Xenopus tropicalis: one gene and its partners. The protein of the gene in region 3 interacts with the protein of the main gene of each other region in a pairwise test. Links are inferred from orthologs where the notes say so. Each region holds a gene or a part of one and is shown on either strand. Other genes may lie near its edges. The genes, in order: eukaryotic translation initiation factor 4E type 2, pin4 and zbtb9.

Region 1 (11,675 bases), on a different chromosome or scaffold from region 3:
CCAGAAAGTAACAGCTGAGCTTTTTCTTAAAGAGAGAGTGTGTGTGTTCCCTACAGAGGGATTCAGGGATAGTGTTCCAGAGGTAAGCAGCAGCAAGATAGAAAGGTTTAAGATGAGAGCGCGCAGTAGGTGTGGATGGTGTAAAAAAACAGAGGCTCTGAGAGGAGCGAAGGAGACGTCCTGATATTATTCTGGGGTAAAACCATACAGGCTTGATAATCCTTGCATTATAAAGCTGTAGTGTTACAAAACAGGTTTCACATAATGCTGGGATGTACCCATGCAGCCTGTGACATTTCACAATTACAGTCTTCTCAATCCCTTACCATTATACTGGGGTGTTCACACATAAACTTACTGTGTTGAGGCACAGGTTTTTCTACATCTGTACCATTGTTGGGAGTTAAGGGGGGTCCTGACCAGAGGTTGGACCAATAAGTGGGGCTTCTGAAAAATTCCAACAACCACTGACCTTAGTTTTCATTTTTTGCTTACTGCTATTTTCTTGAGAAGCCCTATTATCTTGTTGATTCTTACCTCCCACATTGGTTTAATCCCTTCCTTGAAGAGGTGAAAGTCACTGTGCCCAGTCAGGTCCCCAGGACGTACCATGTGACTATAGAACCTCCAAAACTGTTCCACCTGTGACAAAGTACATAAACAGCATTAGCTTAGTTAAACCCATGCAGTATCTCCAAATGCTTTTCAGTTTCTTGCAAAGTATAGTGGAACAGTAATTTGCCACCAATTACCTAAATTCATTGCATAAAAAACAATCTTAGGCCTGCTTTTAATATGATTTCCCAACAAACCAGCAGTAGGTGGAGTATTGATATAACTGTAAGCAAAGTTTACTGATTTAAATTAAGTGAAGATAAATTATACTATCATGCTGTATAACAGTGATCCCCAACCAGTGGCTCATGAGCACTATGTTGCTCCCAGTGGCCTCAGAGTTGGTGCCCATTTTTGAATTTCTGATTTGTAGACATGTTTTGGAGGCATAAAGACCATGGGGCTGATTTACTAACCCACGAATCCGACCCGAATTGGAAAAGTTCCGACTTGAAAACGAACATTTTGCGACTTTTTCGTATGTTTTGCGATCTTTTCGGCGTCTTTACGAATTTTTCGTTACCAATACGATTTTTGCGTAAAAACGCGAGTTTTTCGTAGCCTTTACGAAAGTTGCGTAAAATCTTGCGATTTTTCCGTAGCGTTAAAACTTACGCGAAAAGTTGCGCCTTTTTCGTAGCGTTAAAACTTAAAAGGTGTGAAGTTTCGCGTAAGTTTTAACGCCGAAAAAATCGCAAAAAATACGAAAAAATCACACAATACCGATCTTTACAAAAAAAAAACGCAATCGGACTCATTTCGACCCGTTCGTGGGTTAGTAAATCAGCCCCCATGTGTACTACTAAACAGAGCCTCTAGTAGTCTGCCAGTACACATTGGGCTACTAATTAACCAATCTAAGTCCTTATTGGTTACCTACTAGGAAAGCTTTTGTGCTTGTGTTGCTCCCCAGCTTTTTTTTTATTGAAATGTTGCTCCCAGGTAAAAAAGGTTGGGGATCCCTGCTGTATAACATAAGCATTTTACATGGACTCTTGGTGATTTACTGTTCCGAGGGACATATTCAAAGTGAATGGAAAACATCAGAATGGCACCTCACCTTAATTAGCAGTAGGCATGTATTGTGCAAAAAAAGCAGAGCCACATGTTTTTGAGACATGTGTCAATAAGCAGAACAAGATGTGATGGTGGCCTTTCCTATTCACTTTAAATGGGAAACATTTGCAGTATTTTGTCTCAATCCCTCAGAGTGATAAAACAGTGTTAAATTCCTCATGCCATTGCCCATATAAATACACAAAGGAAGACAAATGACAACATACACATTAGATAAGCCTGCACATTTGACATTTGGATGAACTGATATAATCTGTATACCTTTTTCTCAATGCTTCTTTAAATAATAGTTTGCATTTGCTCACATGTCTGACTATGCAAAACTGTCATGCTATTAGAGGCAGTACACTCACAGAAGCAAAGGTACCGATCTGTTTAATGTTCTGCTCATAGCTCTGGGAGCTGGTTGGCCTTCCTGGAGTTCTGCGTGAGTACCAAAATGTGTAGTTGTACTGTAAGGGGTGCTCGGCTGGACCTGGCACAACACTCTAAGAAACACAGAATATTACAGGGATTAAAGTTGCCAACAAGACACGTCGGAACCATTATATATGTTCTGCTGCAACTGAACAAACACAACATGAATGTATTTACATGGTAAATGTACCCTGTTTTGAATAGCGTTTAACTTATTATTTTCTAAAGGCAAGAATTATGTCACCAGCTTTGTCATGTAAGCGCAGAGGAACTGGACTGCTAAATCGGTCTAAGCACTCACCTATGGCTAGTCCAAAATCACTGTGCTCTTCTATGTTAAATTTACAACAAAAAAAAACAAAGTGTAAATGCCCCCTGATTAAGGATATATTGGTATATAGGTGTATTGGTGCCTAGTGCATGTCTCTAATATACCTAAAACACAACAAAATGTGGGACCAAGTTGGTTCCCAGGAAGTCCTAAAGGTACTTTATTTTCTGTAGTTACAACTTCAACCAGTCTAGCCACTGCAAATTGTAAATACCCCTGGCAACAAGGAATGTCATACTACTGGCAGTTTGGTTCCTTTGAACACCAGCAACAGGGTTCACTTAAAACTGACTGTGTTTATGCAAGATTGTGTTTGCCTATTGTTGTTACTTATATGAAGATGAAATCAGAATTTTAAGAGCAATTAAAATGCAAACCAATGACCCAAGTGCATATTCCATTAATGACCAACCTGGTAATGCATAGGCCATAGTGGCATCATGATACCAATCAGCCCACAGGCTGATCTGTTACATCTTTGCAATTTTGCCACCTAAGCCCATGGTTAAATTGCATTAACATATAGCCAATTAACCAGTATGATGACACTCTGTCTCTGTATGGCCACACTGTATCACTTTCAAGGCTGTGACAGACGGGGAGATTAGTCGCCGCGCGACTAATTTCCCCATAATGCCATCCCACCGGCTAGAATGTAAATCGCCGGTGGGATGGCATATGCAGCGCCAAAATTTTCTCTCAAGGCAACTTCGGCAAATTGCCGCGTATGCCAATCTAGCCGGTGGGATGGCATTATGGGGAGATTTAGTCGCCGGCGACTAATGTCCCCATCGGTCACGGCCCTAAAATATTCACTTGTAAATTGTAGTTCTTTAGGTCACACCTTTTTCCTAGAAGAGCCTTGGTTTTTTTCCTTCTCATTTTTTTCCTTCTCACTGTCTTTCTGTGTGCCATTTTCCTCGTTCTGATCATGATCCCCACTGTCGTCATCTTTTAGACTTAAAAGAAAAATAAAATAAACAATCAATGCGTTTAGAGGTTTAGAGAAAATGTTGGAAGCCAACCATGAAGCTACAGGAAAAAAGAGCAAAAAAAAAAAATAATAATAATAAATAAATAGTATATAAAAGTGAATCCCAAAATGATTTAAAACAACCCAGAGATTAGTGAATCAGTAAACATACATATATTTTATTTTCTGGTACCTTTTAATTACAATGCAGTGCAATCTGGGACATTATCATTGATAACTAGGGTTGCCTCCTGGTCGATATTTTACCAGCCAGGCTGGAAAAATTTAATCCTGATGCAAATGTTATCAATTGGGCAGAATGATAAAAATATTGGAAGGTTGGTATTTTGTTTCCAGAAATCCTACTTCCTAACTCTTGTGCCAAAGTGTAAGTGTCCTGTATATCACAAATATAAACAGATGTATAAACAGATGTATACAAATGCAGTTGTTTTGGGGATTCAGTCTTTTTTGGGATTTTCGGTTCCATGTGATTTTGCTCCCTGTGATTTACATTGACATGTATGTGATTCTCTGGACTTCAAGGCTGCACATTTGCTGCAAGGAACTAAAGTTTCAATTTATTATGTATAAACATCAACACAACTATAAAAAGCAAAGGGACAGTGCCATCTTTCATTCTCACACACTATTACACCATGCCAGGTATTTATAACACATGTACAGCATGAAACCTGCAGGTCCAGTCTTCACCTCACAACAGCATCAGCGGGTTAAAATCCAGCGAAATTCCTACCATCATCCTTCTACTAAGGACTGGAAGCAATTTCTTGGACTTGTAGATGGCATTTCAAGTCATCTAAGGTTTATGGAAAATGGGTGGAATTCTTGGTTCTTAGTCTGCTTTGTTTTTTAATGCAAAGTTTTTAAAGGGGACCTGTCACCCAGACATAAAAAGTTGTATAATGAAAGTAATTTTCAAATTAAACATGAAACCCAAATTCCTTTTTTATTAACACATCCATATGCATTATAAAGGCATTTAAAAATCTCAGCAGTCAATGATATATTGACTGCCCCACCCTTATGCTTTAGGCATAGAGGTGGGGCAGAGAATTACTTTCACTTTGCATTGAGCACTCACTTTCCCCCTCCCTCCTCACCACCTAATGTGTATCCAGTGCATGGGCATCAGGCTCAAAAACAAGATTTTGGAATAATACAAAGCTTGCCCTAATAACATTGTCCACAAAATGGAGCCTTCCTGTTTGTGAATTCCAAAACTGAAGGACATAGTGTAAGTATAGTTCATTTTGCTTGACAAACACAATACAAAACAATTTGGATTTTTTTTCCTAGGGTGACAGGTCCCCTTTAAAATGACTCCCTGCCTCCTCCCGTAGTCTCAACGTTCAAGCATGGGTCAGCCTGAAACTTTTCCATCCAGCAAAAGCATCTGACAAGCCCAAGGATACCTAACATAAGACAAGGCTGTTGTTTTTCCCAGATAAAATTAGCAGTACCATGAAATGCATTTCCACATCTACAAGGATACAATAAATCATCCTTCCCCCAAAGCTACACGATTACTAAATATGAAACATTAGCTCACATAACAATTCAATAATTATTCCGGAGCATATATGCCTTTAATAACAGAATGATAATGAAATCCCTTTAATAACCGAACACTACAAGCACCTGGCACGGCGCTGATTCACTTTGCTGCATACAAACTGCAAAATGTGCAGCGCATCCTTCCCGCTACCGAGTGCGCATTATGGGTGTGTCAGATTAATGGAACGCTACAAGAAACTGTTCCAATGGCTGTGTAATTGGCACAGGGCATGAATCCAGTAGCTACAGCGCAATTAGAGCGCCTATACTAATAAATGGCAGCATGCTGCCTGGGTTGGCGAGCAGGCCATATGGTGACTGTCAGGAAGACCCGTACAATAACTCCGCTCAGTCTTTCCACACTCACGCATCGAATTTGTTGTTCATTGTCGCTCCGCTCCTCTCCTGACCACTTCCGCTCCCACCCTAGCATTCTTCCGCACACAACCTGCCATTTCCGGTGCATATGCGGAACTTTAGTCTCAAGGAAGATGTTACCACTCGGGACAAAAATATAATGCAAACTACGCAGACGCCGTTTGTTTTGTGACGTTTTATTATATAAGGGCTTGTTAGGTCCGTGTGCTTTGGGTAGATTAGCTGGAAGTACAAGGACGTATTTGTATTCAATATGATTTAAAAATAAGTTTGAGCAATTATTAAATGGTATAGGAAATACAACAGCTCTACGTAAAAGCTTATTGATAATGCAGAACTTTTATTTTATGTGACTAGAATAATTCAGCAGGTTTGCTGCAAAACATTTATTATGGGTAACACTACCCAAAATAAATGTTTTGCAGGCAGCAAACCTGCTTAAGATTTTTTCCTACTTTTTGGATTTCTACAATTGAATTTGGTTGCAGCACAGACAACAACTAGGAGCTAAAAGTATTTTATCCAAAGTTCACCAACAATTTTTATTTTTTGGCATTGAAGGGAAATACTCCAGCAATTAAACATATGGGAGGGTCAATATGTCTATGAAGATTCTCATTCATCCAGGTCATGATATACAGTATCTAGAAGAATTAAGTCTAAAACAACTGGACTTTTCTGAGTTTATCTTGAAAACATTTCACCACTCATCCGAGTGGCTTCTTCAGTTCAAATGACTGGTAGGGAATTCCCCGGTATTTAAACTCTTGATGGTAGTAGAGTCACAGACATCCAATCACAATGGTTCCATTGAACTTGTTCAGTTAGGTGTTAGCTGAAACTGACAGGTGTTACAAGGTATGATACAATCACAGTGGTACCATGATGCTCATTGATGAAGGTGTTAATCCTTCAAAGTACATGATTGGAAGTGTGAACTGTTGTGAAACCGCCAAAAATTGTTCAAAAATAATTGAAAAAAAAAAAAAAAAAAACATGGTAGCAGTGCCCTACGGTGGCTCCTAAGTGCCACAGTAAGGCTCTTAACTCTTTTACTGCCAACGACGTCGTGGCAGTAAAAGGGCTTAAATGCCAATGACGTGTCCCATACGTCGTTAAGGTTGAGAACAACCTCGCACTATAGCTTGCTCTATGGGTGCACTTGAATGTAGTAAATAAATGATTTAGATGCAAAGGACAGACACACACTTAAATGTGTGTCTGTCCTTTGCATCTAAATCCCATACGTCGTTGGCATTTAAGCGCTGCTCTCTGCAGCGGCGGCATCTGCCAGGGGGGCTGTCATGAGGGTCCTGCGAGACAATCGCTTGCAGGACCCTCCAGGAATCAGCAGATGCGATCGCATCGCGTTTCCTACTTCCCCCCTGCCGGCCGGCCCACTGAGGAGGAGGCAATCGGGTCTTCAGGACAGGTAAGGAGTTTTTTTATTTTTTTCATTTACACACTTACATACATTTATACACACTTACAGCACACATTTTAGCAGTTTTTTTTTTTTATTTTTCACACTTTTATACACTTATTTACACTCATATACACACTTACACACTATCACACAACTTTTACACATGTATACACAAACACTTTGTTTTTGTTTTTTTCATTTTACCACTTTGTTTTTAGTTTCTTTTACCTAAAAACTGTTTATTTTGACAGCGTGACTATTGGATCAGATATTCTGACCACTAATTACGCTGTTGTTTCACTGATTTGCACAATTTTTGTGGTTTTATCGCATTTTATCCCTGTATAAGTGTTCCTAATCTGTTTTTAGCGTAGCTTTGCCAGGTGTAACTTTGGTGTACAAAAATAACTTTATCTATTTTGAATTCATCAGAATGTGTACTTTCCAAAAATATATGGTTTTCTGGGGGTCTCTGTATAGTTAGGGGGGGTTACTGCACATAATACGCTGTCAGGGGTCTCTGTGTGCAAAAGCTGAGTTGGCAGGCGAGAAATCCATATGCGCTATTTTTGTTTTGGGGTCAGTACTTACCGCAGACTTTGGTATATCTATGAATATTGGGCATCAAACTGTTCAGTAGACCTCTGGTGTTCCTATTTGGGGTGACTTGCCTTTGTACGCAAGAAATTGTGTGAGATAAATGCGCCAAATTGCAACATTTTTAGGCGATTTTCTGAAATGTCATAAAAACCAATAACTTTAGGAAAGCTCTGCAGATTGGTACTTTGGTGTAGAAAGGACTCTTTACCCTTGTTGGATTTGTCAGAATGTGTACTTTCCAAAAATATATGTATTTGTGGGGGTCACTGTATAGTTAGGGGAAGTTTTGGCACATAATACACTGACAGGGGGCTCTGTGTGCAAAAGCTGAGCTGGCAGGTGAGAAATCCTTATGCGTTATTTTCATTTTGGGTTCAGTACATACCGCAGACTTTGGTATATCTATGAATATTGGGCATCAAACTGTTCAGTAGACCTCTGGTGTTCCTATTTGGGGTGACTTGCCTTTGTACGCAAGAAATTGTGTGAGATAAATGCGGCAAATTGCAACATTTTTAGGCGATTTTCTGAAATGTCATAAAAACCAATAACTTTAGGAAAGCTCTGCAGATTGGTACTTTGGTGTAGAAAGGACTCTTTACCCTTGTTGGATTTGTCAGAATGTGTACTTTTCAAAAATATATGGTTTTGTGGGGGTCTCTGTATAGTTAGGGGACGTTTTGGCACATAATACACTGACAGGGGGCTCTGTGTGCAAAAGCTGAGTTGGCAGGCGAGAAATCCTTATGCGCTATTTTCATTTTGGGTTCAGTACATACCGCAGACTTTGGTATATCTATGAATATTGGGCATCAAACTGTTCAGTAGACCTCTGGTGTTCCTATTTGGGGTGATTTGTCTTTATCTGATCTTTATCAAGAAATTGTGAGAGATAAATGTGGCAAATTGCAACATTTTCGAAATGTCATATAAATCTACAAACTTAGGAATGCTTTACAGCTTGGTACTTTGAAGCAAGAAGAAATGTTTACCCATCATAGATTCGGGGGGATGTGTACTTTCCAAAAATATATGGCTTTCTGGGGTGAGCGTACTTTTTTTTGTAGTATTATCCCACATAAAGGATGTAAATGTGTTGATTTTGCAGGAGCTGAAATGATAGATCATATGGGGGTATGTTCCCATTGGGGCCCCTACATGCCACATACTTAGGTAAACCTATACATATTGGGCATCAAACTGTTCAGTGGACCCCTGGCGTTCATATTTAGGGTGTTTTATCTTGGTACCTAATGCTATGTGGGAGATAAGATGCTGCAAAGTGGAAGCTTTGAGGGGATTTTTGGAAATGTCATCAAAATTGCTAACTTTAGAAAAGCTGTGCGGCTTGGTACTTTGGAGTAGAAAGACATGGGTACCCATTTTAGATTCGGGGGAATGTGTACTTTCCAAAAATATATGACTTTCTGGGGTGAGCGTACTTTTTACTAGCTTTATCCCACATATAATGATGTAAATGTGTTGATTTTGCAGGAGCTGAAATGACAGAAATGACAGTACATATGGGGGTATGTTCACATTGGGGCCCCTACATGCCAAATACTTAGGTAAACCTATACATATTGGGCATCAAACTGTTCAGTGGACCCCTGGTGTTCAAATTAAGGGTGTTTTATCTTGGTACCTAATGCTATGTGGGAGATAAGATGCTGCAAAGTGGAAGCTTTGAGGGGATTTTTGGCAATGTCATCAAAATTGCTAACTTTAGAAAAGCTGTGCGGCTTGGTGCTTTGGAGTAGAAAGACATGGGTACTAGGGCTGGGCGATATACCGTTTAATACCGAATACCGGTGTTTTTTTTTTTAAAACTATATTCATTTTTCAGATACCGCAATACCGGGGTGTCAGGGTACTTCCTTGCGTGCACGCCCCGTTGTCCGCGGGTCGTTGCGCGCGTGCGTCAAAGTGCACGTACATGTCAAAGCGTGCACGCCCGTGACGCGCTGACGGCGCCGGTTCTGCGCATTCGTGGGGGGTATTTAAAGCTATCAAACGCCTCCTCCTGTGCTATGTTGTCTGCGGCCTTGCCTGGGAAACTAAGCCTGCCTGATTTACCTTACGACTTTCTGTTGCCGATCCTTCGCTTGCCTGACTCTGATTTTCAATACTGCAGTAATTATTCTCTAATTTATTAGGAAATGGGGTTAACACCTAATGATGCATGGAAAAAAAAAAATACCGTCAAATACTGTGACACCGATATAATTTTGAAAAATACCGTGATATAAATTTTTGGTCATACCGCCCAGCTCTAATGGGTACCCATTTTAGATTCGGGGGAATGTGTACTTTCCAAAAATATATGACTTTCTGGGGTGAGCGTACTTTTTTGTAACTTTATCCCACATATAATGATGTAAATGTGTTGATTTTGCAGGAGCTGAAATGACAGTACATATGGGGGTATGTTCACATTGGGGCCCCTACATGCCACATACTTAGGTAAACCTATACATATTGGGCATCAAACTATTCAGTGGACCCCTGGCGTTCAAATTCAGGGTGTTTTATCTTGGTACCTAATGCTATGTGGGAGATAAGATGCTGCAAAGTGGAAGCTTTGTGGGGATTTTTGGAAATGTCATCAAAATTGCTAACTTTAGAAAAGCTGTGCGGCTTGGTACTTTGGAGTAGAAAGACATGGGTACCCATTTTAGATTCGGGGGAATGTGTACTTTCCAAAAATATATGACTTTCTGGGGTGAGCGTACTTTTTACTAGCTTTATCCCACATATAATGATGTAAATGTGTTGATTTTGCAGGAGCTGAAATGACAGAAATGACAGTACATATGGGGTATGTTCACATTGGGGCCCCTACATGCCACATACTTAAGTAAACCTATACATATTGGGCATCAAACTGTTCAGTGGACCCCTGGCATTCATATTTAGGGTGTTTTATTTGGTTACTTTATGACCTGTAGGAGATAAGATACCATAGACTGGAAGCTTTGAAGCGATTTTTAAAAAAAAAATCACAAATTTTGATAAAAACCAATAACTTTAGGAAAGCATTGAGACTTGATAGTTTGGAGTAGACAGACAGTTGTGCCTATTCTGTATTCCCCAGAATCTGTTCTTTCCAAAAATGTAAAATTTTCTGGGATAAACCTTCTGTTAGTGGAATTTTTGGCCTTGAAATCTAAAGTATGCAGCTTTCTGAAGCAGTGCTTTGGAAATTTGGTAGTGTACTGCTGGGAGTTTTTGACCTATACAAGTGAGAAATCTCCATAAAACTATATATATTTGGTATTGGCACATTCAGAAGACATGGGACTTTCCAAATCAGTTGTATATTCGTGCATAAAATAATTTTTGTTTCTAGTATGTGTGATTATATTATGGAAAATTTGATTTTTTTTTTGTATTTTTAGACATTTAGAAGCCTATATCTTGTTACAGAATTGGAATTACACAAAAATTCTACCATATTTTGAAAGCTTAGGTTGTTCTGAAAAAAACGATATATTGTTTTCCTGGGTAAACTAAAAGTCCCCCCGAGGAAGGGCCCCTAAAGTGAAACAGTGCAAAATGTTCAAAAACTGTCTGGCAATACAAGTTCCGCTTTGACCAAAACAGCTGGCAGTAAAAGGGTTAAAGGACCTGGCGTCCAGATGAAGAAATCTATGGACTGGACATTTAGATTGGTTTTATGTCATACTGTCTGTTTGCAATCTGTAGGGCTCACAGGGGTTGTTCACCTTCAACGTCCAAATCATTTAAGGGCTCTGGCACACGGGGGAGATTAGTCGCCCGCGATAAAACTCCCTGTTCGCGGGCGACTAATCTCCCCGAGTTGCCTACCCCTGCCATCCCACCGGCGAACATGTAAGTCGCCGGCGGGATGGCAGACGCGGCGGGGCGATTTGCGCGAAATCGCGCCGCCGCGTCTGCCATCCCGCCGGCGACTTACATGTTCGCCGGTGGGATGGCAGGGGTAGGCAACTCGGGGAGATTAGTCGCCCGCGAACAGGGAGTTAATCGCGGGCGACTAATCTCCCCCGTGTGCCAGAGCCCTAAAATCACCAACAATGATCTCAGCGTGTTAGAAAATCTATTTTCTATGAAAAAAAAAGTACAAAGGCCAGTGTAAAAGCTATTTTTTATAGCTGTTAAAATAGCCCTGTCTCTCTGATCAGTTTTCTGAAGGGATAGGAGTGACCTATTTTGAACCTAAAATACAGAGAACTTCCTATATGCTTACACACATCCAGGCTGACACCCCCCCCCCCAGCACAGGGCCTGAGCAGAAGTGA
Region 2 (11,911 bases), about 32 Mb from region 3:
AAGCAGCAAAACAACCCCAGACCATCACACTACCGCCACCATATTTTACTGTTGGTATGATGTTCTTTTTCTGAAATGCTGTGTTACTTTTACGCCAGATGTAACGGGACACGCACCTTCCAAAAAGTTCAACTTTTGTCTCGTCGGTCCACAAGGTATTTTCCCAAAAGTCTTGGCAATCATTGAGATGTTTTTAGCAAAATTGAGATGAGCCATAATGTTCTTTTTGCTTAAAAGTGGTTTGCGCCTTGGAAATCTGCCATGCAGGCTGTTTTTGCCCAGTCTCTTTCTTATGGTGGAGTCGTGAACACTGACCTTAATTGAGGAAAGTGAGGCCTGCAGTTCTTTAGATGTTGTCCTGGGGTCTTTTGTGGCCTCTCGGATGAGTTGTCTCTGCGCTCTTGGGGTAATTTTGGTCGGCCGGCCACTCCTGGGAAGGTTCACCACTGTTCCATGTTTTTGCCATTTGTGGATAATGGCTCTCACTGTGGTTCGCTGGAGTCCCAAAGCTTTAGAAATGGCTTTATAACCTTTACCAGACTGATAGATCTCAATTACTTTTGTTCTCATTTGTTCCTCAATTTCTTTGGATCTTGGCATGATGTCTAGCTTTTGAGGTGCTTTTGGTCTACTTCTCTGTGTCAGGTAGCTCCTATTTAAGTGATTTCTTGATTGAAACAGGTGTGGCAGTAATCAGGCCTGGGGGTGACTACAGAAATTGAACTCAGGTGTGATAAACCACAGTTAAGTTATTTTTTAACAAGGGGGGCAATCACTTTTTCACACAGGGCCATGTAGATTTGGAGTTTTTTTTCTCCCTTAACGTAAACCTTCATTTAAAAACTGCATTTTGTGTTCAATTATGTTATCTTTGACTAATAGTTAACGGTTTTTGATGAGCAGAAACATTTAAGTGTGACAAACATGCAAAAGAATAAGAAATCAGGAAGGGGGCAAATAGTTTTTCACACCACTGTAAGTCTGCTAAAAATGATTTAAATATTGAATAAACTCAATAGGCTTGTTTTGCCTCCAATAAGGGGTAATTATATCTTAGTTGGGACCAAGTACAAGGTACTGTTTTATTATTACAGAGAAAAAGGAAACCATTTTTAAAAATCAGAATTATTTGCTTATAATGGAGTCTGTGGGAGATGGCCTTTCTGTAATTCGGAACTTTCTGGACAACTGGTTTCCGGATAGGGATCCCATACATGTATACCCAGAAACTTTGGGTAGCAAAGCAACAGGGCTGAATTTCCCAGTCTCTTAACCAATCAGCATTTGGCATTTCTGGATTAGAGCAATTGGAATAAAAATAATCTGCTACCCCTACTAAAGTGCCTCTTGGCTATAACAGAACTGCTGATATTTTCAATTGTGTATGCGGAAAATACTATTTATGGTTTAATAAATACCTTCTACAGCTGTAAACTACATTGGCACCATGTGTTTCCTGTGCACAAAATAAATCAATGAATAGACACTGATTTTTTTACTGTCTGTGTAATAAAGGAAAGTAAAATAAGTTGTATAGCAAACCTACTAGTGTTATAAGCTCATGTTGCTACCTGCTTGGGGGAAACTTACTGCTAGAATAATTTGCTGTTTAGCCATTTACTTCAGGGAAGGTGCCTCTCAGAATCCTTCTATAGCTTGTCTGAATGCATAAATGATCCATCTTGAGCAGTTTCTTTGGCACATTCCTCTTCTTCAAATATGTGACAGTAGAAAGTGCAAATATGACATTTATATGGGTATGTAAAAAACATATTTTAGACATTTATTTACCTGACTGGGAGGATCACAAATAATAAATGAACAGAAACCGAAAAATATTCCATAATCAATGAGTTGGTGCGGAGGAGGTTCCTTAACAGGAATCCAAAAATAACATCTGGACTATAACCAAAGAATGGGGTTTTATTGTAGTAGCAAATTACAGTAAGTGGGTTCACAGCCATAAATTAATCCTATATATACCGATAGAATCGTACAAAGTGTTTTTGTGAATGTTGGGGGGGGGGGATAATTCCAACTAATATCTCTGTAACATGGATATTAGTCAGTTTGTCAATTGGACATACTGGAAAATGTAATTTGCTGATGTACTATATCTGTCAGTGCCTGGTGCATCAGTAGGTGAGGAAGAGATGAGGAACTGCAGCGTATCTTCACTTTTTGCAGTTAAAGTCACTTGGGCACTGGGACCACAAGAATGAAACAAATGAAAAGTAAACTGTGAATGGCCACTCATAGTATCTGGCCTGTGGGCGGTTTTTAGACATTTTCTGTTATACACAGAAGTGGCTAAATCAGACCACCATTCTTTTGGGGGATATTATACCTCCTCTGTATCCCTTGCCATCTGGGTAGATGTTGGGAGTCGTATTTTAACACCAACTGGAGAGTTGTGGGTCATCTTTCCTTGCTATCAGTGCAAGAAATGCTACAAAAAGTACAAGAATATCATATTGAATTTACCCCCTACACAATTTGCTGTAGTAGGTAATTGGCAGTGAGGGACACTGTCCTGCTTGGTTTGCTTATTTTCTTCCTTCCACCATAATGATATGATATCCAAACTTTGTCTTCACAGGAGGATCAGTGTAAACAGGTTTGTCCATTGTGCTGACTGGAAGGGCAAAAGCAGCATCTTGGAAAGGTCCCACCATGGAGCCCCTTGTCATCCAGCCCAGATCCCCCTGCAAAAGTGGTGAAATAAAGCAGATGTTAATGAGCTGCTTTTCTCTCAATAAAAACGTAAACCAGTAACCCCCGAACAGTGAACGTATTGCTCCCCACCCCCTTTAATCTTGTTTTCAGTGGCCTCAAAGTCGGTGCCATTTTTACATTTGTGGCTTGGAGGCAAGTTTGGAAGCCCAGATACACACCCCAAGCAGAGCCTTCTGCAGACTAGTAGTTTAAATGGGGCTACTAAATAGCCAATCACAGTCCTAAAGAACCAACACTGTGTATATACTGGGATACTCCCTTGCCAGGTTACCACATACTTAGGGACTCTGATTATCTACCCCTGGAGGCCCAAACAGAGTGGCTTCAATTTCCCTGTTTAGCTCATTTTTTGTGATTAAAACAATATAAAAAAGTTATATGAAGCCCAGATTATTCATTGCACTCATGCTGAAAAGGAAGTATACTGCTCTGTTAAGGATAATGCATTGTGGACTCATAAAACCAGAGAAGCACTATTGGAGGAATTGGATTAAAAAGGAAGTATATTGGCCCTTTAAAGATAGCCCATTATGACTCATAAAACCAGAGGGAATGCGCTGTGGATCCTGTAGGATATATTATAAAGAATGTGCGGAACATTACTTCCTGTAGAAAGATTTATTCTCCAAGATTTCCTCCTCCTTTCAACTCACTTAGAATAAAATAGTTTCCGAGCTACTCCCCTGCTTTTTATGATATCAACAGTATACAGGATCGGACTGGGGGGTGAAGGGCCCACCGGGGCTCCTGTCCCAGGGGCCCTGCAGGTGCCCCCAGCCAGGCGCGTCCCGGCGGCCCAGTCCGACCCTGACAGTATATGCAAAGTGGTGTTTCCATAAGACTTTGTGACTGCTGGAATATCCAGTTTAGCCTGCAGTTGCTGACACAGCAGCTCTTTCTCAGCCGCTAAGATGAGCCAAACATTAGCAGTATATAATTGCTAATATCTTAAAAATTGCTGAAATAAAAAAAAAAAAAAATCATAGGTGCTGTAAATAAGATTCTGAGCAATTGTAATGTTTAGGTTCACTTAAAGGGGATCTAAGTGTTTTTATGGAAGATACCTGCTGTAGATATATAGAAAGATCATACTAGCAATATGGAATATTATCTTATTTAGATAAGGCCATACCCCTTGCCTAGCCTTGTCCTCGCTGTACTGTGTTGCCACCTCACTGAAGCGCACGCCAGACTTTAGCTTCTCCATTGCCTCCATTACCTTGCCATGTTTCTCACAGAGAATGTGTCTCACCTAGACGAGAGGGGAAATCAGAAAAGGTCAAACTAATCCACACTAGTGATACTTTGTACATAAAAGCCCCTCCAACAACACAGGGAGACCGTTGCAGGATACTAGGATTTTTAGTTTATGTTACAGTTCCCATGAGGGACATTTAAAAGCCTGTTTGTGTCTGCAGTGATCTGAAAACCATAGCAAAGTAGCCCAGCTCCATTCATTAACTACCTGTGCTCCAAACAGAACCCTTTTTTTTGAGTTTACTGTATTTCAATTGCATGTTACATGTGTAAAGATTAGCAATTATAACAGTCATAATAAACAATCTTAGATCAATAGTTTAAATCTGGAGATGTAATAGAGCAGCAGTATAAATGCCGTATGTAGAGTCACATGATAAAGGGTTATTAAGGTCCCCATACACGGGCCGACTATAGCTGCCGATATAGGTCCCTTGGACCGATTCGGCAGCTAATCGGCCCGTGTATGGGGAGAGCAGAGTGGCCTGGCCGACCGATATCTGGCCTGAAATTGGCCAGATCTCGATCGGCCAGGTTAGAAAATCCGGTCGGATCGGGGACCGCATCGGCTCGTTGATGCGGTCCCCGATCCGACTGCCCCATTGCCGCCCACATAATCCGATCGTTTGGCCCCAGGGCCAAACGATCGGATTATTTTTTTTTTACCTAAATGCTCCCCGATATCGCCCACCCGTAGGTGGGGATATCGGGGGAAGATCCGCTCGCTTGGCAACATCGCCAAGCGAGCGGATCTGCTCGTGTATGGCCACCTTAAGTCTCTAGACAGAGGACATTCCAGTCAGAATCCTCCAGCAACAAACTTAATAGACATGGGTCTTACAATAAGGTTTTCATCACACAGTGAGGTTAGTAGCTGTTACTTGTAGCTGGCTAGAGTTGAATTGTATTGTATCCTGCTGAGAAATGTGTCTATTATATCCCACCATTGGAAACAGTCATAACCTTCCAAATAAAAGCAGCAGCTAGCAATCTACCTCTGTCACATACCCCAAAAAATTACTGCCCCCCCCCCCCCCCAATAAATATATAAAACAATAAATTATACTTTACCTTGACAGCATTTCCCCCTTTGGGCGTTTGTGCTTTCTTATCAGCTGCTTCCCCGCTGGCTGCTCCACCTAAACCACAGATTAAAAAAAATCATTATCATGGCATAATCATGGCACTACTAACGTTAGGAAGTTACATTGCTATCTTTATACTGTTTACTTGTTACTAGCAAGACATTAGCTCAAGACAGAATCAATAATATAAGCACATGCTGGAGCGCAAGGTATCTATGGCAACAAAACATTGCACACAGTAATGTAATGCTGCCACTGGTATCCTTCAAAATTTAGGACCAGCCCCAAAAGACCCTTAGGGTGAAGACACATGGAGCTACTAGAAGCGGCTACTAAAATAGACAATGCTGATGATTTAATGATAATTGTCTCTACGCATGTTTTAGCAGAGGCAATTCTTAGTATTGTCTATGGCAGGGTATTTACTGGTATTTAGTAGCTGCTACTAAGCAGCTCCGTGTGTCTTTGCCCTGCGGCAGATGTTTGAGGAGAATATTTTATATGTAACAAGACAAGCCTTATTACACTCTAGCCTGTTGCTAGCTGCCATTTCCCTTTGCACTAACAGCATGTTATGGGATTTCTATAGCCTATGGAATTCATTCAATCACGTTACAGAAACAAACAGTGAATATAATTAGGCAGATGTTTAACTGTAAATCAGCTTCCAGGAAAGAACTTGCACAACATGACAGTAGCCTCCCTGTTTGCAGAGCGCTCCCAGCAACGCACCTAGGGTTTTTATATTCCACATATTACCTTTAGCTCCCTTTCCTCCCTTCCCCTTTGGCGGCATGGTTCCTTCCACTCTCCGCGACTATTCGGGGCGCCAGTCGCACGTGTGACGTCACCGGGTCTGGAGTTTGCACTTCCGGGATCGAGAGGCGCTGCTTCCATCCCTGGAACGCACAACTAGGTCCCAAACAAAAAGATTTGCTGCGGCGAGTTTGCAGTTGAAGGTTCTTATGTGATGAACTGATTGTTGCCTTAGTTACGGTTTTACCACTAGAGAATAAAAAAAATAGTTGGAAAATGCAGTACACCGATAGGGTATAGGATACCAATAGGGTGTAGGGCACCAATAGAGTATAGGATACCAATAGGGTATAGGACACCAATAGGGTATAGGATACCAATAGGGTGTAGGGCACCAATAGGGTATAGGATACCAATAGGGTATAGGATACCAATAGGGTATAGGACACCAATAGAGTGTAGGGCACCAATAGAGTATAGGACACCAATAGGGTATAGGGCGCCAATAGGGTATAGGGCGCCAATAGGGTGTAGGACGCCAATAGGGTGTAGGACGCCAATAGGGTGTAGGGCGCCAATAGGGTGTAGGACGCCAATAGGGTATAGGACGCCAATAGGGTATAGGACGCCAATAGGGTATAGGACGCCAATAGGGTATAGGACGTCAATAGGGTGTAGGACACCAATAGGGTATAAGATACCAATAGGGTGTAGGACACCAATAGGGTATAGGATACCAATAGAGTATAGGATACCAATAGGGTGTAGGACACCAATAGGGTGTAGGATACCAATAGGGTATAGGACACCAATAGAGTATAGGACACCAATAGGGTGTAGGACACCAATAGGGTATAGGATACCAATAGGGTATAGGATACCAATAGGGTGTAGGACACCAATAGGGTGTAGGACACCAATAGGGTGTAGGACACCAATAGGGTATAGGACACCAATAGGGTATAGGACACCAATAGGGTGTAGGACACCAATAGGGTGTAGGATACCAATAGGGTGTAGGACACCAATAGGGTATAGGACACCAATAGAGTATAGGATACCAATAGGGTGTAGGACACCAATAGGGTATAGGACACCAATAGGGTATAGGATACCAATAGGGTGTAGGACACCAATAGGGTATAGGACACCAATAGAGTATAGGATACCAATAGGGTGTAGGACACCAATAGGGTGTAGGACACCAATAGGGTATAGGATACCAATAGAGTATAGGATACCAATAGGGTGTAGGACACCAATAGGGTGTAGGACACCAATAGGGTGTAGGACACCAATAGGGTGTAGGACACCAATAGGGTATAGGATACCAATAGGGTGTAGGACACCAATAGGGTATAGGACACCAATAGAGTATAGGATACCAATAGGGTGTAGGACACCAATAGGGTATAGGACACCAATAGAGTATAGGATACCAATAGGGTGTAGGACACCAATAGGGTATAGGACACCAATAGAGTATAGGATACCAATAGGGTGTAGGACACCAATAGGGTGTAGGACACCAATAGGGTATAGGATACCAATAGAGTATAGGATACCAATAGGGTGTAGGACACCAATAGGGTATAGGATACCAATAGAGTATAGGATACCAATAGGGTGTAGGACACCAATAGAGTATAGGATACCAATAGAGTATAGGATACCAATAGGGTGTAGGACACCAATAGGATAAAGGACACCAATAGGACTACACTACTAGGATCCTTGGTGGCAAGGATGACATACCAATGATTGTTTAAATAGTGTATCTTTTAGTAATCTGTCATAGGAAGTACTATTAGTACCGGTGGAAATGTGTGTAACCTTTATTAATTTTGCAAAAGCATGTAATAAGTAACTTTAGGGGATGAAAATCCAACTAATGTAAAGTACATTCATGTCTGTAGGGGTATTAAGGGCTCTAAAAGAGACATATTGGATTAATGGGAAAAAAAACTAATTCTGTAGACCATTATAAATAATATATGATGCTGGTTTCACTTTGGGTTAAAAGTGAATCCTATCTGTAAAAATGGCCCCTTTATTGGAGCTCCTTATAGATCATCTCAGTTCTCTGTCCCTGTTTCAAATGAAGGGTGGGCAGTCCCTGCCAGAAGCACAGCAGCAGGAGGGGGAGAGCCAATCACAACCTTGCATTCACACAGGCAAAGACAGACTTCAGTTCCCTATCAGGTCAGTCTAGCTGCTGATTGGGTCCTATTCTACATTGCAGTGTACTGAGTGCCCCAGCCCCCCCTGCACATCCATAGAGTTCATGAAGTGTAACAGAGAGGGGCTAGTAGGGTTTTGGTGGAATTTCTCAATAAATCAGTCCAAAACACATTTTTTTTAAACACAATCCTTCTGTATTTAGAGTATAATTCACTGGCACTTTCTTGATTTTTATATGATATGTCTCCTTTAAACTACAAGCTGCTTTGCCCAAAAAACAGCCAAGTGCAGTGTCCTTAAAGGGGACCTGTAACCCTAAGAAATAATTTCAAATTCTTTTCTATTCATGTTAGTTGTCTTGGAATTCATAATCACAAGCAAGCAGGTATTTTGTGAACAACATTTATTAAGACAAGGTTTGCATCATCCAAAATCTTGTTTGTGTTCCAGAATCTGGCACTTGATGCCCATGCTCAGGGTACACAAAAATAGTTAATGAGGAGGAATGAGAGGCATGCAGTGACATCTAGGAAGTGCCAAATGGCCTCTCCACCTCTATGTCTGTGGGATAGAGGAGAGGCAAGCAATATATGATTTACAGATGAGATTTTTAAATACTTTATAATAGGTATGGATGTTTTAATAAAAAAATTTTTGGAATTTTTATGTTTACTTATAAAGACTTTTATTATACAGCTTTTTATATCTGGGTGACAGGTCTCCTTTGAAGAGGTTGCTCACCTTTAGACTGACCTTTAGTATGTTATAGACATATTAATAATAGTAAGTTAGGAAGGCTTGTTACTCCAGCCCCTATATGGTTTGTTAGTCAACATAAATGTTTAAGACTTAAGCTGGAGCAGTTAAGGTACACCATGAAAACATTCAGTTAATGGCAATATCCAATTCATTGGCAGTAAAGCCGTGACTTTGTTTCAGGACTATTGCACATACCTTGGTCAGGTCTCTTCTTGAACTTTGTATTTGCCCATGTACCATAAAACAATAATGCAGTGCAATACAAAGTCCATATGCTACCTATTGAAAAGGAGGAAAGAAAAAATGAAATCCTTGGCAAACTTTTCACTTTGACATTTTGTCACTTCAAGGCCTAATAAAATGTTAGTCTATATGTAAAGGGGAGCTGTTTACAATATAAGGTTGCCCCCCAATGACAGCATTGTGGGACCAACTTGTGGTTGTTTCCAGTTATGGGGTTTGTGGATTGTAAAATAACCCGTAGTGTATTTTTGCAGAAATTCTTAGTTATTTAGCACCTATTTGGAGAAAAGGTAGTCACTTGGCTAGGTTAAATTGGGCACCCTCCTCTGGTGTAAGTAGAGAATTAAAAATACCAAATGCCAGTGAAAATGGTAGTATGAAGTCCTATTGCAATGTGCCCTATTTGTAGGTAGGTGGTATGTGATGAGATTAATAGCTAAAGGAAGGTCTCCTACATGGAGGTTTCAGTAGAAGCAGACAGAAGTCCATGTAAAGGATGAGGTGCTGGTGCTTCAGAGTTCAGAAGGAGAGAGGTTAGTACACTGAAAAGTGAAATCCGAGCAGTAAAACTGGAAGAAAGCACACAAGCCAAGATTGTGTTGTACCCAAGGTACCTCCAATGAGGTTATTGCTGACAAAAGGGATGGAAGCCTGGTAATTTGGATTTAAATACTCCCCAATAAACACATTGGTGGTACATTGGTACACCACACTCCTGGCTTGTGTGCTCTCTTCCTCCTTTATTGCTTGGATTTTTATACATGGTGTGATACATTTCTTACAAAAATGCACCGACCCCAAGTTAGTTGAACTATATGGTTATTGAACTGTAACTGTGAGTGTATAGAATCTGTTTTTATATTGACTCTGAACACTGCAATTCCATGGGATAGTGATATATTCTCAGCTTTGTGAGAAGCCCCTTTGGAATTGGTCTGTGTTTAGCTTGTGGGGTACCTGAACTGGTGGATCTAAGAAAAGGTATGAAGTAGCCATGAGGCACCTGTGTCTGAAGTGAATGTAATTAAATACAGCTACTAGGCCTCTATTGGCCAGATAAGTGATCTATAGCAGTCCCCTGGCCTTGGCACACTCTCAGTTTTGCAATTTCCCAATAAATGTATAGAAGCCAGAGATTTCTCCTCTCGCCTATCGATATAAAAAGCTGTACAGGCCAAACTTTCCTCGCCTCCTTGGCTCTTTAAACTGTCTTATGCTAGCCTATATGAGTAAAGTAATAATAGCAGTAGTATTTAGCCTTGTACTTAGCCTGCTTTGAAGTTTCAGTGGTGGGAGATTCCGTCACCATACCAGATGGCATTTTACTTTGCATTTTGAAGAAAGTGAGAATAGAATAGGAACCATTTATAAGCCATAAAGTCTAGTTGCATAGTTAACTTGATTACTACCATTCACAGCATTGTATAAGCTAAAGGGTAATCGCCCCCTTCATGTCCTTTTATTTCACTATTATAATAAGGCAGACCTACGTAAGCATCAGTCAATCAAACTAGATTACACAATGTTCTAATATAAAAAGGCATATATTATAATGAGACAATAAAACTACTGTAACATAGCTGAACCATAAGCCAAGCTAAAAAAAAATGTGTTTCCTTCCCTTAGCCTTCCAGGTACTGACTTCCAACCTGTAGCTGCCCGGCTGCTAAACTGCAACAGCTACAAAACCCCAAATTGTACTCACCACCTAAAGGAGTGGTTCACCTTCAGGTTAATTTTTAGTATGTTATAGAATGGCCTATTCTTAGCAACTTTTCAGTTGGTCTTCATTTTTTATTTGTTATAGTTTATTTATTTGTCCCATCTGATTCTTTCAAGCTTTCAAATGACCCCAGCAGCCAAAAACTATGAGGCTACAAGGCTACAATGTTATTGTTACTTTTTATTAATTATGTTTTTATCTAGGCCCTTCGCTATTTATATTTCTGTCTTTCTTTCAAAGCACTGCCTGGTTACTAGGTTAAATTGAACCCTAGCAGCCAGATAGCTGCTGAAATTCCTAGCTGGAGAGCTGCTGAACATAAAGCTAAATAATTTTAAAAATGCAAATAAAAAATAAAAACCAATTGCAAAATAGCACTTTTATCATAGTAAAAGTTAATTCAAAGGTGAATAACCCCTTTAAATGTAACATATTTATACATTTAGTAACCAACTGTACCTGCCCATTCATTAACTCTTAGATGTGTATAACATCCTTGGTGTATATTACTTCCAGATGTAGGGTTATACAGGCAGCAAAGGAGAAGGAACCTGCAAGGTATATACTTCTGATCATTTTATGGTACATGCATACTGTATGGGAATCTGACTCATTAGTGTAGCATAGCTCTCTGCCAGTTTCATCATCCTCCCCTACTCTTTAGTCCCATAGAACTCTTGGTATGTATAAAGCCCAAATATTCATTTAATTTATACTTAGTTCTCTTTAGATCAAAGTGCCCACTCCTCTTCAGGTGAGTTCTTAGACCCCCTCCTGCCCAAAATTCCATCACAAAGAGCTGTTTTTATGTAGTGAATGCGGCATATAAATCCACTATAAAGATGTTCGGGTTGACTAACTGTCTTATTCTCTTTGTGGCTAAAATGCTGGAAGTTAAAGAGAAGATTAGTCCAACATTGAGTGAGATATAATAATAACAAAAGCAAATAAATGAAGGGAAGTGAAAATAAAAGTATAAAATAGAAATGATTGTGCCCGTGACCCCAGCGTTCTATATCCTTAGTGGAGTCGATATTCTGCTTCTTATGCACTTTAAGGGCACAATATATGTTTGGAATAAAAGAGTGGGTTTAGGGAAACTGATTGTTCCCCTGTATGTTCTTCTAAATGATCATATTCTAATTAGAGACTGAATCAGTTACTGTGCCAA
Region 3 (10,072 bases):
TTCCCAGACAGAAGGGAAAAAAAAATCATTTATATAGTATAAATAAAGTTTATTTTGCTGAACTAACATGAAAGAAAAGAATTTGGAATTATTTCTTAGGGTGACAGGGCCCCTTAACAGGGGTCTATAAATTCAGCAATATGTTAGACAAGTTGTTTATTAGAAAAGTTGTTTGTCTTTTCAGTGCACATGCTGAATCATCCATTGTGCCCCATGATATCCAGACCACCATGTTATCCGGACAACTGTTGTCTCATCACATACTGTTCAGAACATGTTTATCACAAGAAACTGTGCAAGTCTTGAATGTTCCAAAATGTGTAGTACAGGAGATAAACTGATATACAGGTCCTTCTAAAAAAATTAGCATATTGTGATAAAGTTCATTATTTTCTGTAATGAACTGATAAACATTAGACTTTCATATATTTTAGATTCATTACACACAACTGAAGTAGTTCAAGCCTTTTATTGTTTTAATATTGATGATTGTGGCATACAGCTCAAGAAAACACAAAATTCCTATCTCAAAAAATTAGCATATTTCATCCGACCAATAAAAGAAAAGTGTTTTTAATACAAAAAAAGTCAACCTTCAAATAATTATGTTCAGTTATGCACTCAATACTTGGTCGGGAATCCTTTTGCAGAAATGACTGCTTCAATGCGGCGTGGCATGGAGGCAATCAGCCTGTGGCACTGCTGAGGTGTTATGGAGGCCCAGGATGCTTCAATAGCGGCCTTAAACTCATCCGGAGTGTTGGGTCTAGTGTCTCTCAACTTTCTCTTCACAATATCCCACAGATTCTCTATGGGGTTCAGGTCAGGAGAGTTGGCAGGCCAATTGAGCACAGTAATACCATGGTCAGTAAACCATTTACCAGTGGTTTTGGCACTGTGAGCAGGAGCCAGGTCGTGCTGAAAAATGAAATCTTCATCTCCATAAAGCTTTTCAGCAGATGGAAGCATGAAGTGCTCCAAAATCTCCTGATAGCTAGCTGCATTGACCCTGCCCTTGATAAAACACAGTGGACCAACACCAGCAGCTGACATGGCACCCCAGACCATCACTGACTGTGGGTACTTGACACTGGACTTCAGGCATTTTGGCATTTCCCTCTCCCCAGTCTTCCTCCAGACTCTGGCACCTTGATTTCTGAATGACATGCAAAATTAGCTTTCATCCGAAAAAAGTGCTTTGGACCACTGAGCAACAGTCCAGTCCTGGGGAATGCGGCACCTATAGCCCATTTCCTGCACACGCCTGTACACGGTGGCTCTGGATGTTTCTACTCCAGACTCAGTCCACTGCTTCCGCAGGTCCCATAAGGTCTGGAATCAGTCCTTCTCCACAATCTTCCTCAGGGCCCGGTCATCTCTTCTCGTTGTGCAGCGTTTTCTGCCACACTTTTTCCTTCCCACAGACTTCCCACTGAGGTGCCTTGATACAGCACTCTGGGAACAGCCTATTCATTCAGAAATTTCTTTCTGTGTCTTACCCTCTTGCTTGAGGGTGTCAATGATGGCCTTCTAGACAGCAGTCAGGTCGGCAGTCTTACCCATGATTGCGGTTTTGAGTAATGAACCAGGCTGGGAGTTTTTAAAAGCCTCCGGAATCTTTTGCAGGTGTTTAGAGTTAATAAGTTGATTCAGATGATTAGGTTAATAGCTCGTTTAGAGAACCTTTTCATGATATGCTAATTTTTTGAGATAGGAATTTTGGGTTTTCATGAGCTGTATGCCACAATCATCAATATTAAAACAATAAAAGGCTTGAACTACTTCAGTTGTGTGTAATGAATCTAAAATATATGAAAGTCTAATGTTTATCAGTACATTACAGAAAATAATGAACTTTATCACAATATGCTAATTTTTTGAGAAGGACCTGTAAACAAGAACATCAGACTTTGATTGGTGGATATACTGGGGCTTGGGGTGGGGGTGTTGGAAATCTCAAGTAAGGGGTTATATATGGGGGGCAACAAGGTGTGAGCTTTGGAAGACTAATGTCCAATGTGTTTTTGTACGTATGTCCTCTCCGCCAGTGAGTTAAAATTTATCCAATTCCTGAATTCTTAGTCCAAGTGGTATTTCTGAAAGAGAAGATATTCTACCTTGGCACTTTGTCTGACAGTTTCTGCAGTCACCCCTTCCCCATATAAGACACATGCATGCAACTGAAACACCAGCTAGCCAGTTTGATTGCTATTAAACATTTAGATCTGGTACAACCCTGGCCCCCAAATATATTTCATTTAAGCACATGCTGCACACTGTAACGGAGAGTTAGCAATCTGCAGAGAAGACATGAATCAGTGCTAAGTCGTTTTTTATTTTTTTTATTCCAGAGAGAGTTTAAGATGCATATGTCTTCAATCAGACTAGAGGAACAGGATGATAGGCATCATTGGACTGATACTGCTATCAACCACTTAGGGGGGCATTTGACAACTGCTGACAAATGATTATCATAGTAGGACTGTGATTAATAAGGGTTACCCAATGAACCAGTTCTTCTATTTCTCTTACAAGAATATCCAGTCAATGGGCCTTCAGACAGCCTTTCAGCAGAGGTTAAAAGGAAAGTAGAACTACAGACAAGTGTCTGTCAATTTGTCCTAATACTAAGTGAGGCACAAATGCAGTAGCCTATGTATGATTAAGTGCCCCAAGGAACAGAATGTGTAAAGCTTTTTATTTTTTATCTTCCTGCAATTATGTCTATGTTTCCTTTATTCGGGGCTTTGAGTGCCTTATGTGGATTCCCAGATGGATTATGGCTTGCAGTATGCCATAGCCAGTGCCTTATACGTATAGCCATCGAAGCTATACATATATGTTCAGCACTATATACGCATATGCTGTAAACTTTGGACGCACCTATGGATAATCCCATAGACCTCCTAAACTTGTTTTCAATTTTGGCTGAAGGTGCAGTCTATTCTGGGAGAAATCATCCAATATTGTTGGTCACTGTAGGTCATACATAGACAAAAAGTTAAACTATTTGGTTAAAATAGGCTTACAATTTACAAAGAGACCAGTAACACCAGGAAATGAAGCTTCCATAACGCATTTAGAAATGTTATTATGTCATCTATAACATTATATGCATTATATAAAGGAAGCATTCTTTTATTTACCAATATGTTTAGTTTCTTACTGCAAGGATTTGAGAGTGGGGCCTTGTTAAGATTACAGATAAAACATGGCTGAACACAGCAGAGTTGATACTAAACACCTAAATAAAAAGCGGGACTTCTGGTTAAAAAAAAACTTTTTTTTTTTTACAGCCAAACAGAATATTGGCTAAAATAACCCAAAGCAGAATAGATAGTGTCTTTAACACTTCTATATGTGCTAAGGATGTCCTACAATAGAGATGTAAATATACATTCATATATTAATATTTCAGTTGGCTAAATACAAAGATACATTTTTTTTAAGTACTACAGATTTGCTTACTTTGGTTAGTCCTTTGGGAAAATGGGACTTGGCACAGATTTCTCTCTTTGCTATTTGCTGAAAACAAGGTTTTACTTTTTCAAATAACAGAGGGCACAAGCAGTGTTCATGCTAGCATTAAGAGCACCCTACGTATGCCTAGCCAGAAGGCACTAACATACTGGCATACTGCACTGATTCCCCAGGGACACAGTCTCAGCAACCTGAATGCAGAACTGCACTGGTATTTGTATTGCTAAAAGTATCTGTATCATACAATATCACCAATTATTATTGTGCTATATTATTAAAGATCACTGGTGGTGCTACTAAGGTCTGGTTTAGTTACCGACGCATAAACGGTTATGCCTAATCACTTATGTATGTGCTATTCGCTCTCATAGATTTACTCTACCAGCATTACTTTATAAGTTTAAAGTAAGGAACTACTGATCTTCCCACCAATAGAAATCAGTATGACTGTTCATCTGAAATCAGAGCTTGGCCTCACTTGCCAATACCTAGCACTACAGAGAAACACGCTAAAGGAGTTCTTTAGGTTCCTGACACAAACTATACTTGTTTACAGTAAGAAATATTGCTTTAATATCAGATTTAGGTAGTCCCCACAGAGACACTGTTCATCACAGTTATTGGTCTACTGTCTAGTAACAAGAAGCTTCTTCCCGTACCTACACCATAAAATGACTACTCCCCCACAAAGTGACAGAAACAAACATTTGTACTGTTTCAGACATTCAGTGCTTCTAGCTAACTATGATTCGTATGACAAGCCTTTATACATGTAAAGAATGATATACTCACAACATACATGATTGTAGATATGTAAAAGTTATTTACATACTAACTTCAGATGGTCATGCTTTTCTGCCTACATGTATCGTGCAAATGTCACTTAAACTGTAACCAATCAATGCCTGCGGCTACTGCAATAACCTTGACAAGGAGGAGCGAGCTAATATGGTCCATATATTTTCCTATGGAAAACGTAGGTTAGATGTGAAGGAGTCCATTAAAACAGCAATGCAACAGTGCAGTCCCATCAGTAAGCTGAGGTTTAACTTATGTCTGATAATTACCAACAGTGCCGAAATGCAGCTTCAGACAGTTTACCCAAAGACTCCTTTTTTTATACATAACAGTAACTTTGCTATCAATATAGCGGTGCTGGTGAATATATCACCCAGTTTTGGCAAACTGTTATCATCCAGGATCTGAACTGCTCAGACTCTGCTAGACAGTTCTCATGCATGGCCTTTGGGTTTTAAGAAGCAGCTCAAAATGTTGCAAAAGGAGAAATGTTGTGGAGTCAGAATTTCCTTGTAATAAAGGCTGAAAAAGTTAATAGGTTTTGGTGGGCAGATCACTAGCTACTGCATGCTCCTCCATATTCATTTCAATGCAGTAAAATCCAGCATATACTGTTTGCTTTAGATGACTTAGACTACAATTCATAAGGGTCCAAAAGAAATGAACGTTATTTATAGGTCCAACATGCCCCTGCCCACCTCTGTCCTTTACACACCTCCTTGTGTTTCTGGAAACAGCTCTGTACCCTAAATTTACGACCACAGTCTTCACATGAATACAGATTTCCTCCGTGAGTCTTCATGTGCTCAGTAAGATGGTGCTTAAGTTTGAACTTCTTGTTGCAGACAGAACAGCCAAAGGGTCTAAGACTAAAGGTTAGCATGATGTGCCGGTCCCGCTTGGGCTTCACTGCAAAGCGTTTGCCACACAAGCAACCAAACTTTTTCCCATCAGGAGCTGCAACAAGCTTAAGTGGAGCATGAATAGTTTGGGCTTGAAGGGCATGGGAAATTATCTCATTACCATGAAGGTCCACAGGTTTTGACAGAGTAAAGGACTGGGAATCTGACACATCATGTATTTTACGAGGCAAGCAGAGAGAAACATCAGAAGATGATGATGATGTAGGAGGAAGAACAAAGCTCAGTTCTGAGGGATAATCAGCCTGAATCTCTGTCATGCCAAATGTCTTTAAGTAACCACTATCTTGGTCTGGCCGCTCTTGTTTAATATAATAAACTTTTGGACTTGCTGGGGATGAGGAGGAAGGAAGGGCATAAGAGCAATTAGCTGAAACAGCCTCTTCCAAAAGATTGGCTCCATTCTGAGCATCGTCTTCTTCTTCCTCCTCCTCTTCTGACACACGTACCTTTATCACTTCTTCATCATCAGAGCAGCCAAGAGAAACTGGCAAAGAGACTGATGGAGGTGGGGGATCATCGCGTGGGGGCTGAAAACTGCTACTGGGTGACTGACTCTCACTTGCACGGCTAGACCAAGCCTGGGGATGATGCATTTCTCTCTCTTTTAGCAGCTCAGAACATCGATCTACAACCTGCCACATTTGCAAGCCACTGGCCACTAGAAGATGGGAAGGCAAAGTCTCCATTTCCAAGCATAGCCGACCAGAGTAAATGAGCTGCAAAAGGTTCTCAAAGGCATCAGGCTGGATGACATTTGGAAGAACTAAGCAACTTGTGTCATTTAGAAGAAGCTTGTCATGAAAATATGGAGAGGAAGCTGCTAAAACTGTTTTATGGGCTCGAAAAACTCTGCTTTGAACCTGAACTGACAAATCACAGAACTTTCCCTCCAATCGTTGTTTGTTCAAGGTGTCTAGTAGTGTAGAGCTGTAATGGGGGAAATCTAGCTGGATGCTCTCACTTCCAGGCATTGTGGCTACCTGGTAAGACAGAGAAAATGAAATGAAGTTAGCAAAAATTACAAGTGCTTCTCAACGGATAAAAGATGCTAAAACATGAAATCCAATACTCTCCATTCGGGCAGGGGGGAGGAATATATTTATATAATAGGAAGAGTCATTAGCAGACAGTAAATTGTGACTTATTAGGGGTCATACCCCAACCAGACACTAACCAGCTATTTCCCAACCTGCACCCAATACCAAGTCCTCTTCTACACAGTGATTTAATGTGGCCATACACGTGTAGATTTGTAAACGATTTTTTATTAATGTACAACCATGCTTATTATAAAACAATCGCATATGATCTGTCCATCAACGAAAAGGAACATTTCAAGTGATATTGTCTAGTTGAAGCCCAAACCGGAAAAGGATGTGACGTATATGCTAAAAGTTAAAAAAGAAAGGAAAAACTGTGGTAGCTGCTTGCTTGGTCCTGCAAACAATTTTGTAATGTCCTATGGACAATCTATGTTGTATTTTTTTCAGTTTTTGATTGTTGCTGTACATTATGTAAAAAAAAGTAAACAATATTTAATTTATATCTGTGAGATTCCTTTCTCTTTTGAGACTCCATAGATATTTACTGCTGTTTGATGACACTTGTCATCATTTTGTGATCTCAACACCGCCCCACACATGCACAGTTTCTAAATTGTTAAGGGATCGAAATCTGTCCATCCCATCAAATTTCACTGTTTAAAGACAAAAATGTATAAACCTGTCCGATCAATTCTCTGACCAATGTCGGAGGAAAGAACAGCAGATGTACGATTGTTGGGTGCACACCACCCATACGATAATTCAATAATTTGTCAGATCATACTGAAATTGTTATGTAAAAAAAGGCTGTATAGTATAAAGGGGTGCACAGTGACAAAATGCATGTACTTGATGAAGAACCAGTGGTGTAACTGTTAGCATTGCTTTCTTGGAGTGCTGGGGTAATAGGTTTGATTCCAGTGAGGGTACTATGAGTTTTAATGCGTTATCAATGATTGTGTTTCCTCCCACACTGAAAAAACATTTATCATAAATGGCTTCTGATCGAAAAATGATCGTGTGTGAATGCTATATGCACCTTAAGTTGTAAGCTCCGCTAGGGCAGGGACAGGTGTGGATAGTTATGGAATATGTTGGCGCTAAATAAAGAATAATTTGATATAATATATTATATATATACATACATGCACTGGGGGGCAGACTTCAAGTGGTAGTTTACCTTCACAAAACTGTGTTTCGTAAAGGTAGCCATACACTGTAAGGTCTGCTTGCTTGTCAATGTCATAAAGCAAGAGGATCTTTTCCCGATATGCCCACTTACTAGGGCCAAACAATCAAATTAAAATGGCAGGCATAGGTGCCACTGGTTCAGGTCAGATGCCGTTTGGGAAGGCCTGTCGATGGTGCCTATACACTGGCAAATAAGCTGCTGAATCGCTCTAAGGGACTGATATGGGCAGCTGAATCTGGCACATGTGGCCATCTTTACGTGTGGCTACCTTATTTTGGAACAGGATGCAAGAATTCCAAAATACAAAAAAATATTTTAAATATTTTAGAAGTAAATTGATACAGTGCAAATGGTTTCATACTGCTCAAGGGCACTACGTCGTAGTGTTCATGAAAGGCATGAAACATGCAGGGCAACTTTTTTATTTATTCATTTTTGGAGTCAATGCACCTATACAATACACTAAAATAACCCTCTGTTTAATACTGCAACTACTGCTTTTTCCCATTAAAAAATGAAACTATACAATTAATGCTACACCAGGGTTTTTTTCTTTTAGAGAATAAGACAATCTACTCAAACCCTGGCTGACAGAAAGACATCTTCCTGTCTGTGTGCACACAAGCATTTTCATGACAAGATCCATCCTGCCAGGCACTGACAGGCATGTAGTACCACACTAGGCTCCTGTCCCCTGGTGTAGATATCACATGGAGTAATATTGGTGTTTATAGTTATACTTTTCAGAATTAATAAACATTTTTGGAGAGCACAAGCCTAGCTAATATTATAATTGTACCTAAGTCTAATATGCAGGGTTGTCAATGATGCAACATCTTTAAACAACCAAGGAGGCTTCACCAGGGATATTTGTGTATATGCTGCAACCCAACAAGCTCTCTTGATAATCAGACTATAAATAAGATTTTTACAAGACACCCAAAAGCCTGGGCCACAACATTAGGGACTGTATACACTTTTACTTCTTTAAATAAATTACCAGTGCAGGGCTGCAAATGTATAACAGTTTTTCTGAGCAAGGTGCAGAGAAATAGTCCCTGCTATGTGCCCACAAGCCGTCTTTACTTTGGCATCACTGCACTTATGTAAAAGCTCAGTATATAGAGTGCTGGGCACCAGGTAGAACAGTGTGACTGTCTGCTGGACAATCCTCAGGCTCTCGTAAGCGCTCACCCTTCAAAAAAGGCATGTTTTCTGCACTTTGATCACCACATATTTTTTATCAGCCGAAGAAACATGTTTAAAATGCCCAAAGTCACTCACATACTAAAATATCTGCCTGAAATCACTGGTTTAAGCACCTGTCATGGCTACATACTGTCTCCCCTGAACACAATATCCCGTGTGAGGCTTTGTTTGGTCACAGCTAATGATGGATTTCATGTATCTGCATCAGAGAAACATTATAACATATAAAGGGCAGCCAATTCCATATCTGTTAGCAGCCATTTACATGGCAGGAGTGATGGTAGGAAAGTGATGCCCAGCACTGCCCCAGTTATCCCTCATTCCTTACTGGGCTATGTGTCCCATTATTATGTGTCCCCCTGCGAGCTTGTACCTTAGTCTCCCCTAGCGATCAGGCAGTGGGACAGGGCTGAGGGAGGACAAGGAGCAATAAGGCCCAAAATACAAGTACATATAACAAAATGCTATCCGATAACCTGTTCCCTTCCCAGCCAGGCCCACACACCCATTACCCAATCAATACAGCCTGTGGCCTTATGGTACATAGTTGCTACTGGTGTCCGTTACTGTAAATAGTGACTCTACCGCTGTAGTTCGGCTGTATGTGAAGGATGCTGGGAACTGTAGTCCCAAACTAGCTAGAAGGCCACAGACTAGACACAGGTTTGTGAGTTCTGATAAGTGCACTGCTCACAAAGGCGCTATAAACCCCACCCCTGAAACATACCGTATTACTTCCCTGCTCCCCTGAAGCTCCCTAAATACAGCAGCCCGTCACTGCACCAGCGGCAGGACAAACATAGCCAGGCCCGTGGAGGCCAGACGCGGGACAAACGTGTGTAACCCTGGGAAACCATCAAATTGGAGCCATGCAAAACGCGGTCAGGGACAAGTATAACCAACCCTGGGACTCCGTAGTCACATCTCTACGAGAGTAAGGAGGAGGGACAAGTAGGCGCTATCCCCGGGAAAACGAGCTAGGAAACATCCGGGCCTGTATCACATGGACGAACATTACCTTACCCCTTGTCTCAGAGCGCCGCTCACACCTGTAGTTACCCCTGGAGACCAGAAGGGGGATATATTGCGCTCTTTCCTTTAGGAACCTACCACAAGCACAAGTAGTATGAATGTGCTGTAATAAACCGTGGCTATGATACAAACTGCTCCATAGAGGGTTATAGCTGTGTGGTGTGCCAAGTGATCTGCCTCTCACAGCACTATGTTACTATTGCCTGCAAAGCTCCAGGCTGAGTAGCCTGCTTTCACATACATTATCCAATACAAATTACTAACCAGGTCAAAGAACTAATAAATGATTCGTTTTAGTGTGATGGACCAAAATAGGGAGCTGGAGCAAATAGAAGAAGTACAGATAAAAAGGAATATTTAAATGTGAAATTATGTGGTGATATGCATTCTCTGGT

Evidence for each region.
Region 1: the proteins of zbtb9 (region 3) and eukaryotic translation initiation factor 4E type 2 interact in binary tests that used the Homo sapiens proteins (3 or more experiments, as listed by UniProt). The two-hybrid records come from large-scale screens. The link is inferred for Xenopus tropicalis from reciprocal best matches to the Homo sapiens genes ZBTB9 and EIF4E2.
Region 2: the proteins of zbtb9 (region 3) and pin4 interact in binary tests that used the Homo sapiens proteins (3 or more experiments, as listed by UniProt). The two-hybrid records come from large-scale screens. The link is inferred for Xenopus tropicalis from reciprocal best matches to the Homo sapiens genes ZBTB9 and PIN4.

Annotation. Positions count from the first base shown.
Region 1 is NC_030681.2:101,902,402-101,914,076, forward strand, and holds the start of eukaryotic translation initiation factor 4E type 2, read right to left. Parts: upstream 5,406-11,675; 5' UTR 5,379-5,405; coding exon 5,359-5,378; intron 3,400-5,358; coding exon 3,285-3,399; intron 2,181-3,284; coding exon 2,046-2,180; intron 643-2,045; coding exon 538-642; intron 1-537. UniProt on the Homo sapiens protein: Recognizes and binds the 7-methylguanosine-containing mRNA cap during an early step in the initiation. Acts as a repressor of translation initiation.
Region 2 is NC_030684.2:39,710,513-39,722,423, reverse strand, and holds the start of pin4 (peptidyl-prolyl cis-trans isomerase NIMA-interacting 4), read right to left. Parts: upstream 6,075-11,911; 5' UTR 5,875-6,074; coding exon 5,838-5,874; intron 5,133-5,837; coding exon 5,065-5,132; intron 3,989-5,064; coding exon 3,869-3,988; intron 2,706-3,868; coding exon 2,547-2,705; 3' UTR 975-2,546; intron 1-974.
Region 3 is NC_030684.2:71,788,712-71,798,783, forward strand, and holds zbtb9 (zinc finger and BTB domain-containing protein 9), read right to left. Parts: upstream 9,729-10,072; 5' UTR 9,669-9,728; intron 9,646-9,668; exon of another isoform or gene 9,549-9,645; intron 9,543-9,548; exon of another isoform or gene 9,373-9,542; intron 6,182-9,372; 5' UTR 6,173-6,181; coding exon 4,946-6,172; 3' UTR 2,327-4,945; downstream 1-2,326. UniProt on the Homo sapiens protein: May be involved in transcriptional regulation.